2 linked regions of the Oryzias latipes genome follow. Each later gene encodes a partner of the first gene's protein in a complex. Links are inferred from orthologs where the notes say so. Each region holds a gene or a part of one and is shown in the gene's direction. Other genes may lie near its edges.

Region 1 (5,050 bases):
GCTTGGACACTTTGCTTGGGTCCAGACCACGATGATGCGCCAGCATCTGCATCCACACAAACAACACAGGTTCAAAACCAGTCGAATGAAGCTGGAGATTTTAAAAAAGACCAAAAATTAACTTTAGCATGCAGCTTCAAACTCCACCTTTGTGGCAATCCGGCACTCCACCACACGGATGTTGTAGTGAGAGGAGGCGGCTTTGTTCATCTCCTTGCAACAGTTGGAAATCACAAATACAGCTCCCTCTGGAAGCTTCACATCAGTGGCCCGCAGAGGGTGAAACTCTATCAGCTTTGCCTGACAATAGATGCAAAAATTAATGCACACTTTTGTTTAAGGGTTACCTTTTAAGGAAAAAAGACTGATGGAAAACAGGTACACACAGTGCCTTTTTCTGCCAGAAAAGAAATGGACTGGTCCATGCCTCCCCCCTCTGTACCGATGTAGCGCTCACATTTGGCACATATCTCAGCAAGAGCCACCTGGAGGAATAAATGCACATAAACAGAGGGCTTCGAAGTATCTTCGTATTTATCCTCTTAGTAAGGATTTTACCTTGGAAAGGGATTTCTGATTGGCTTCCATAGTTAACAGACCAGCACAACAAACCAAAGCACTTGAGCTCGATAGACCGGAACTGGGAGGAATAGATCCATCTACCACACAGGACATCCCAGCCAAACGAGGGATCCCAAACTTCTCCTGCAGGAAAAAAAACACTCACAGCAACAAAAACTGTACAAATATTTATTTTCATTCCAGGTCAATTATTTCAGACATTACATAACAAACACATCATACCTGGATACCTTTAACTCCACAGAGAAAATAATAATACCACTTTGGGTCGTCTTTGTTTATGGCGATGTCCTCTGAGCATGACACTTTATAATCTCTGCAGATGACCAAAAACACGTTTGTAATGCAAGAAATCCTAACAATCAACCATTTAGGAAGAATTAAAATGATATCTGGTCTCTTACTTATATTGAGGATTTATGTTTGCCAGTTGGATCATTCCAGAGTTGTTTACAGACACAGCTGCAAGGATGTTCTGCTCAATGGCCATCGGCAGTACAGAATAACCGCAGTAATCAATGTGTTCCCCTGGTAAATGTATTACAAGAAAATAAAGAAAGAAAAGTGTCCCAGTGAGATCAAATGACTTGTATTAATGAAAAAAACATCAATTTATTTAGTTATGATGATAACACAGAAAAATGGAGCATTTAGTTTACCTATTAGATTAACTCTTCCAGGTGCACACGTGTAGAATAGTGGGGATTCTCCATACTTGGCTTCAAATGCATTTTTCAGGTTTTTCAACCTGCAGATGACACTATATTCAAGTAAATAAGAGCCACACGGTTGCCTCTTTCCCTCAACTGTCCTCATTTGTCATCTCACCTTTGATTTGTAGCAATCGATGTCTTTATCTTGGGTGGGTTTGAGGCCATTTTTCACCTGATTTGGAATAATCTGGGTGTTTACGTGGTCCCACGACGTTAAATTGGGGAAGTGGTGAGCAGCCTGTGTCCTGTCAGCTGACTAAAATCCTGGATCTGAAACCGCTGAACTCCAGTCAGCTAAAAGCGAAAACTCTTACTCAGGAAAGCGTGATTATCACGGGAAAGACTGATGCTGGAACAGGATTCAACGCTAAACGCGGAAGTCGGGGGCGGAGCTAACGTGTTTTTGTCCCAACTGAGCCACCGTACACAGAGGAGTGTATTTATATCAATTTTTTTTAAGGTAAACACATAGTTATAGTCAATGAAAAAAAAACTTTAGTGAAAATATTTTTGACTTAAAAAAGACAAAAAAATAAAATAAGTCATTAAAAATACCATTTTTTTTTAATATTGACTGGACTACACTTCCCAAAAAATTAGTTTGTGTTACTATGGCAACTGTTCTTTTTTTGTTCCGGGTTTAGGAACCAAAGTATCTGCTTTGTTTTTTGCTACCTAAATTTCAAACGGCAAAAATGGGTAACATTAAAATTATGCGACCAACGGCAACACGAGACAGTGAAAGTTAGAGGTTGTGGGTTTTCTGCAGTACGGTGAAACTTTGCAATGGCTGGGCGCCGCTGATGCGCGGGAGTTTTCAAACTGGGCGAGTCCACAGACCGTGGGTCCGTTTAAAGAGGATGCTAATCTGTGTGCTACTTAGCCACGGTTAGCTTCGTACATTTCTTACTTTACAGTGTTGTTAAATGCTTGCAACGTTACGTTAGACGCGTTTCTATTTTTTTAAATATTATTTCGTGTAGCCATTTATGTTTCAACATGTACTTAGATAAACAGAATGCCACACGTAGTTTTAGCTAACTGGAGCCGCATCTTCAGATAGCCTTGTTTGTTGGTAGCGTTTGTTTTAACGCGTTCAAATAGGAGGATGTCCAGCTAGACAAAATACATTTTTTATCTTCAATCAGGTAATACGTTACATTGGTTAGCTTCTACCTTCACCTGTGTGAGGTGACGCTCATTGTTTTTACCAATACTAGTAGTTAACCTTTGACACTAGCACGTAGCTCAGCTGGTGACTGAAGAAAAACATAGTCTAGACTGCTGTGTTTGAAAGGCAGGATAGCCACCTTATTCCTGTTTTGCTTCTCTTTTCCCAGCCCACCAGCAAGTTTTGCAGCATGTCCATAGACTTTGACAGTGCTGCTCTCCAAACTCAGCATGATGATGAAGAATATGACCAAGAGGACTACGCAAGGGAGCAAGAGGTGACATAATAATGTGAAAGCTAACCTCATTTGTGAGATGTAAAGGGTGGATGAAAACTAGATCAACAAAAGCATCGGACTGCATCTTTAAAATCAAGGGAGCAAGAGGTGATATAAAATGATAATATGAAAGCTAACCTCATTTGTTAGATATTAAGGGTGGGTGAAAATAAGATCAACAAAAGCATCGGACTGCATCTTTAAAATCATATTCAAACTGTCATTTATTTCTCACGCCTCAATCTGTTGAGCCATGACTGTGAGCTATTATTGGCTCCAGGGAGGACCTCCTTTCAGGTGTGTCATAAGCTTAAACAAGCTCTGCTGTCTCTATTTAAGTTATTTGGCCTCTCATGCCTGACCCCACTACACGGAACAAAGCAGAAATGCTTTAGCTAAAATTGTAATGAATTTGGCAGGACTCTGCAAGTTTATTTTGAAATTTTAGCCCAATTTCAAGCAAGCCAGTGAAGTGGGAAATGTTGACCACCAGTAATCGGAATGTTTCTGCTCCAGTTAACCTTGCTATATGTTTGGTCTGAACAATGGAGTTCTTTTTGGAGCAAAACAGAGGAATAACACAGGGAGCTGACGGCATGCCAGGCAGGTTTTGAATATTTCCAGCAGAAGGTCATCTCTCCAGACACTCAGACTGCTGATGGTTGTGTTAGAGCTCGTGCAGAAGAAGAGTTGTCTCTGTAGTCAGTTTTTTAAATTTATAATTGCACAAATGGGTCCTTCTATTGTGGAAGCTGTGGATGATTTGAGGACCATTCAACAATCCTTGTGGGAAGTAAGTCCAGCAGACACTGCTTGTTTAATCGTCTCTTTTTTTCCAGCACAGAGAGAAGCTATTTTAAACAAAATCTTCTCAATAGTTGGTCTTATACAGAACTTTATTGCAAATAATGATTAACCAGTAACGGTTTCACATTGTTGAGAAGCTGTTAGTGGAGGTTGAGGCTTGTATCTCCCTTTCTTAGCTCATCAAGTATAAACAATCATAATTCAAATGTTTAAAAATACAAAATAAATCAAAATATTATTATTTTGCTGTAGTTACAGTGTAACTTCAAATGAGCTTTTATGAAAATATGAGTTTAACTGCTGCTTCAGTGTGATTGATCTTGTGCAAATATAAAAGCAGCTTCTGTGCCTGTCATTGATTACCTCCGTGTGCTTTAGTTTTTCAACCTGTGTTACTTTATAACTCTGTTGCTTGGCAACCTCAGTGACTCATATCTGTGCTGTGTTTTCTCTGCAGTTGCACCAGCTGCTCACAGACCTGCCTGATGACATGCTGGAGGACAGCGTGGACTCCTCCTCCCCTGAGCTGGAGTGCTCCACCTACAGCAATAAAAACGCAGCCAACAGGTAAATGCATGCGGTGGACACATTAGTGCCACCGATTAAAGGTAAATTGCTCTGTTGTTTGATGCATGTTTGGTTTTTCAGCCCACGGGCTCAGTGGAACCAGCAGTGGTCAGATCACACCCACACACAGGTAAGACCTCACTTTTCCCTCTTGATAGATTTTTGCTTTCACCAATTAAACAAAAGATGAAATTATCATTTTGTTACTTTTTGGAGAACTTTGAGGATGACTATGATGGAAGCTCGCATGGTGATTATGCCTATAAAGATGGAGTAGCTGATATTAATGGGCATCACAGTCAAAATCAGCCCCTGCCTCATACCTGGACTCAGGAACATCAGTTTGGACCGGAGGATTATGAATACACAAACCGATGTACAGAGAACGAGGATTTTCCCATTCACTTTGAGCCGCAGTCAGCCCCGGAAAGAACTGAAAATCACATGGAATATAATGGAGTAGAGGACTACACAGATGAGCACAACTCCAGAAACCTCTTTCAAGTAAGTGATCAACAAAGAGAGGCTGCTGAGGTGGCTTGTCAAACAGATGAGACTGAAGTCAACGGTGTGATGATTTCTGCCGAAGATAAAATATACTCAACATGTGTGAATATATTTTTACCCTTTGGAGATCTTAGTTACAGTTTGTCTGTGTTTCTGAAAACAAACAAAATAACAAGGTTTTTTTTATTTTTACCAGCAGTCAGTGGAGCTTAGTTCTATCTTTTTGAGTGAATTACAAGTAATCTCAGTTGTTAAATTATACAAAGATTTAGGAAATTATATCTACAAACATAACATAAAAAATGAAATGATGCCAAAAATGCTCATAATGTTTCAATATATAAGCTTTTCTCATATTTTTTTGTGGAAAAAATGGAGAAGAAAGTAAAATGATGCCTATTGAAAACTGAAGTTTTTATGGGTAAA
Region 2 (3,953 bases), on another chromosome or scaffold:
CTCCAGCTCCTCTCCTTCCAGTTTGAGTGTGTCGTCCTCCTCTCCTGCCTCTGCGATCTGCTCCCACTGCCTGCTGTCCACCCACAGAGCTTCCTGCAGGCTGAGGCCTCGGTCAATGCAGGTGACCCTGCGGCACAGCGGGCAGGCCAGCGCCAGGTAGCTGCTCCTGACCTGCTGCATGGCCTCCAGACACAGTTCACAGAAGGTATGTCTGCAGTGAAGCACCCGGGGGATCCTGTCCATGCGGGAGTAAGGGAAGAAGCAGACGGTGCAGTCGCTGTCCTCACACAGAACCATGGTCCAGATGGACGACGGCGATGTTCCTGCTGAGAGCCACAGAGGAGCTGCAGAAGGTCCCAGACGGTCCCACGGGCCCGGCTGGGAAGAAACATGAAAAGATTGTCCTTTGGTCAAACTTTACCCAGGAATGACAGCTGTATTTATTTCTACTCTAAGGAGAAAAAATGAATTAGAGGAATTTTTGATATTTTAATTCTTGTGAATGCAACCATTTCACATCAAGATAAGAAAACTCATTATTTTCTTGGATAATAACATGTCCTTTTAATAGTAAAAAGTTACAGTATAAAAAGAAGTTTACCACTGACAGAAGAAGAGGAGTCATGTTCAAATAAATCAAATGTTATACTTACTTGAGTGAAATGCTTCTAGTTCTCGTTCAGATCAGGTTTTTCCAAGTGGCTCAGTCTGCCTGCAGTCAAGAACTGTAAATGAACTGTCGCGTCTGCCGCCTGTTGAGAGTCCGCCGCGGCTGGGGGCGGAACAGAGACGTCTGTCACCGCCCAGGACTCGCCCAACAACAGCTGGGGAAGCTGAGCCAAGCCTCCGTCTTTGTTCCTGTGTTTGCTGTTAGGCCGGTGGAGGGCTGGTCGAAGGAGATGACTAACTTAGAAATGGTAAAAAGTTAAAAAAATAAATAAATAAATAAAATAAAAAATATCCACTCCAACCACTTGGATAAAAATGTTTTTCTTAGTGGAAAATAAAAAGCTTTGGGCAGTGGACAATAAAAACCTTTGGGCTCGTCCGGGATTTGAACCCGGGACCTCTCGCACCCAAAGCGAGAATCATACCCCTAGACCAACGAGCCACGCTTACACTTAGTCAAAATATGTAAATATAATCTGTATTGAGATGAAAATGGAGGGTGTGTCCGAATTCGGGGGCTGCGTCTTTCAGTGGCCGCGGCCTTCACGGTCGACGTTGGCCGGGTCATTCGTCGCGCGGGTTGTCTGGATGTTAACGGCTGTGAATTTGGACGAGTCTTAGCCGTAGATCATTCCAGCCGCGTCGGCGAATGTCCTGTCGCGTAGTAAGTAACGTGTCGCGTGACTGACTCAGAGAGGAGTAGTGATCCAGGCATGGAGTCCTTATAGTCCGGCTGAGACACAACAGGTACTGTACGGAGCCCGTGACCTGACATGGGTAAAAAAAAAAAATGTTCCCACGAAATAATAATTCATCTGATAAGTCATTCTTGGATTTACAGCAGATACTTTCACATTTCTGTCTGTGTATATTTCATTACAATGCATTGAAGACACGGAGGATGTTTAGAGGTCTGTGTGCACTTTTTTGGCATTTTCAACATGCTTATGCTAATTTAACAGACTATTTTCATTCATCTTTGTTGTTTTATGTTGAAACGGGACATTTCGTTTAAACATTGGTGTTCTGCGCATGACAGGTTCATGACGTAAGGTGACAAATGGACTTCTGGGTTTGTGATTGAAAAGGAAAATAAAGTAGCGGTCCTCTACACCCAAACGAGTCTCTGAGCTCCTTAGTTAACTCCGCTTTACCGACACCGAACCCTGGAAGGCTGGCTACACTAACAAAAATGTGATTTTAAGTCGTCAAAAGGCTCAAAATTTGTTTGTTTTTGAAACTTATCTGGAAATAAAGCTTCACAAAAGTCTCCACATATTTCGTCTTCAAGCTAGGCTCCGATAAACAGAAAACTTATGTGTTTTTACTTGTTTTTTACTATGACTTTTTCTTGTAGATTTACGAGAAAAAAACTCAAAAATTTACGAGATTTTAAGTTGTGAATTTATGAGATAAAACTCATAAATTAACGAGATAAAATCTCATAACGTCTTAAAATCTCGTAATTTAACAGTTATGACTTTCTTTCTCTGAAATTTACGAATTAAAAATCGTAATTTTAATTTTTTTTTTTTGTAAACTGAAAACTCCATCGTATTTATGAATCCACTGTGTTCTGAAGATAAAAACTTTGATGGTTTGTTTAAAATATACTTTATTTGGGGTAAAAATTGCTTTGACGCAATGCATTGTGGTCTATGGTACCGATTTACGTAGTGAGCACACTGGTTTTTGACAGAGCCTATGTCCGAAATCCCACCCTAACCGTTATATAGTGCATCTTACCATTTTGAAGTGCTGTCTGAACCTACAATTCCCAAATTGAGTGCCCCGCAGAAATTTCCCAGATGTCTCTGCGAAAAACCGGTGTGCCTCGACGCTCATTAGATCGGGAAATATAGACAACAATGCATTGCGTCTGTAATTTTTGCAGAAAAATGTATTTAAATGTTTTTAAAATGTTTTGTGTTTATCTTCAGAAGACAGTGGACTTATAAATAATCATCACAAAGTCACACCCCACCCCTCCCCTTTCGTTCTCACTCATGCAGCCCCGTGTGACACGAGATAGGAGCAGCTGCAGGGACGGGAATTCAAAGGTTTCAGGCTGTTACAAACTCTGTGATATAACAGACAACAGGAACCGAATAGTGGACCAGATATTTTTCCAAGCACTGAGCCGCTGTCACCACCGCCCCCATGTTAAATTTGCGCACCGGACGATTGCCCGTATTACCTGTGCATAAACCACCATCACCGCGCGCCCCCCCCTGACATCGCTTCGCGCCGCCTAGCCCCACTATTTGAGAAGAACTGGTCTAGTGGGTCTAGATGACCCAACTCCCAATGTTAAAGTGCCTAGGATAGCACGGTGTCTGAATAGCTTTTAAAATTCAAGGCATTATATAATGCTGCACTGTATAGTTTTTTTTAAAAGTTAGGGGTTAGGGCGGTAACAGGCTCCGTATGTATTCAATCTCTCAAAAAATAAAACAAAATTCTACAAGATGAAGTTCTCAAGAATTACACAATAGCTTTAGCTAGTTTAACGGACATATTTTATAACTTCCTTACAGGTTGTAAAATATATAATAACTGTAGTAACTTTGTGGGTTTGTAGAGTACCCCAAAATGGTTAATAAAAATACTTTTTTTTGTTTATTTACTTCTCATAAGTTTTTATACTAAATATAACTGTGTACAAGTACCTACCCTCTTTTGAGAATGTAAAAAAATTGTTATATAATAACTATAAACTATTTTTAAATTGTTTTATTAATCAGACTACATTAGTGTTAAATGTTAATTTTATCATGTGACTTATTTTTTGCAGAAATTAATTTTAACAATGTTTACCATACTCTTATTTGAATTCAGTAAAAGTTGAATTTAAGTATTTTGTTCTTATCATATCCAAGTAAAATCATCTTTTTAAGCCTCATAGAAACTTAAAACCAAATCTTTATAATAAAAAAGGATTTCTTGTGTATTTCTCTTTGACCAGACTAGATGTCTGTACTGCAGAATCAACTTATGGATAATCTTTGGTCACGCAGCATCCATCGACACCAAGCTCTGCAAACCCTGCTGATCTACAGTGAAGGCGCATCCCGAAACTCTCTTAGCAGATCAACAGACCAGATTAGTTTTAACCCTTTTGCTATCCTGGGAGTTGGGTCATCTAGACCCACTAGAGAGTGCTCTGAACCTTTTTTCTTGAATGATTTGTGATCTTCAGTGGTGTCCATGGATTACATGAAATCTTTCCACCTTTGTCATGGTAGGGAGAACACGTCAAAGTAAGGGTGTAGTCATCATTTTGT

Evidence for each region.
Region 2: the proteins of cep152 (region 1) and cep63 are in contact, whole or in part, in a crystal structure (PDB 6CSU), measured with the Homo sapiens proteins. The link is inferred for Oryzias latipes from reciprocal best matches to the Homo sapiens genes CEP152 and CEP63. Residues at the interface, in NP_001181927.1 of Homo sapiens: Gly1261, Ala1262, Glu1265, Leu1266, Gln1269, Tyr1270, Lys1272, Ala1273, Lys1276, Ile1277, Asp1280, Met1281, Tyr1284, Glu1287, Ser1288, Arg1291, Ala1292, Met1295, Ala1298, Arg1302; in NP_001340037.1 of Homo sapiens: Phe666, Glu669, Glu670, Arg673, Ile677, Arg680, Leu681, His684, Glu687, Leu688, Glu691, Ser692, Thr695, Phe699.

Annotation. Positions count from the first base shown.
Region 1 is NC_019864.2:15,114,811-15,119,860, forward strand, and holds the start of cep152 (centrosomal protein of 152 kDa), read left to right. Parts: upstream 1-1,919; 5' UTR 1,920-2,098; coding exon 2,099-2,140; exon of another isoform or gene 2,141-2,443; intron 2,444-2,635; coding exon 2,636-2,743; intron 2,744-3,145; exon of another isoform or gene 3,146-3,401; coding exon of another isoform or gene 3,402-3,536; intron 3,537-4,007; coding exon 4,008-4,117; intron 4,118-4,198; coding exon 4,199-4,247; intron 4,248-4,333; coding exon 4,334-4,621; intron 4,622-5,050. Other genes in the region: galk2 (N-acetylgalactosamine kinase), read right to left, coding at 1-46, 148-300, 387-485, 559-705, 805-898, 987-1,110, 1,242-1,342, 1,411-1,460. UniProt on the Homo sapiens protein: Necessary for centrosome duplication; the function also seems to involve CEP63, CDK5RAP2 and WDR62 through a stepwise assembled complex at the centrosome that recruits CDK2 required for centriole duplication.
Region 2 is NC_019862.2:2,686,827-2,690,779, reverse strand, and holds the start of cep63 (centrosomal protein of 63 kDa), read left to right. Parts: upstream 1-1,153; 5' UTR 1,154-1,416; intron 1,417-3,953. Other genes in the region: uncharacterized protein LOC111947333, read right to left, coding at 1-297. UniProt on the Homo sapiens protein: Required for normal spindle assembly.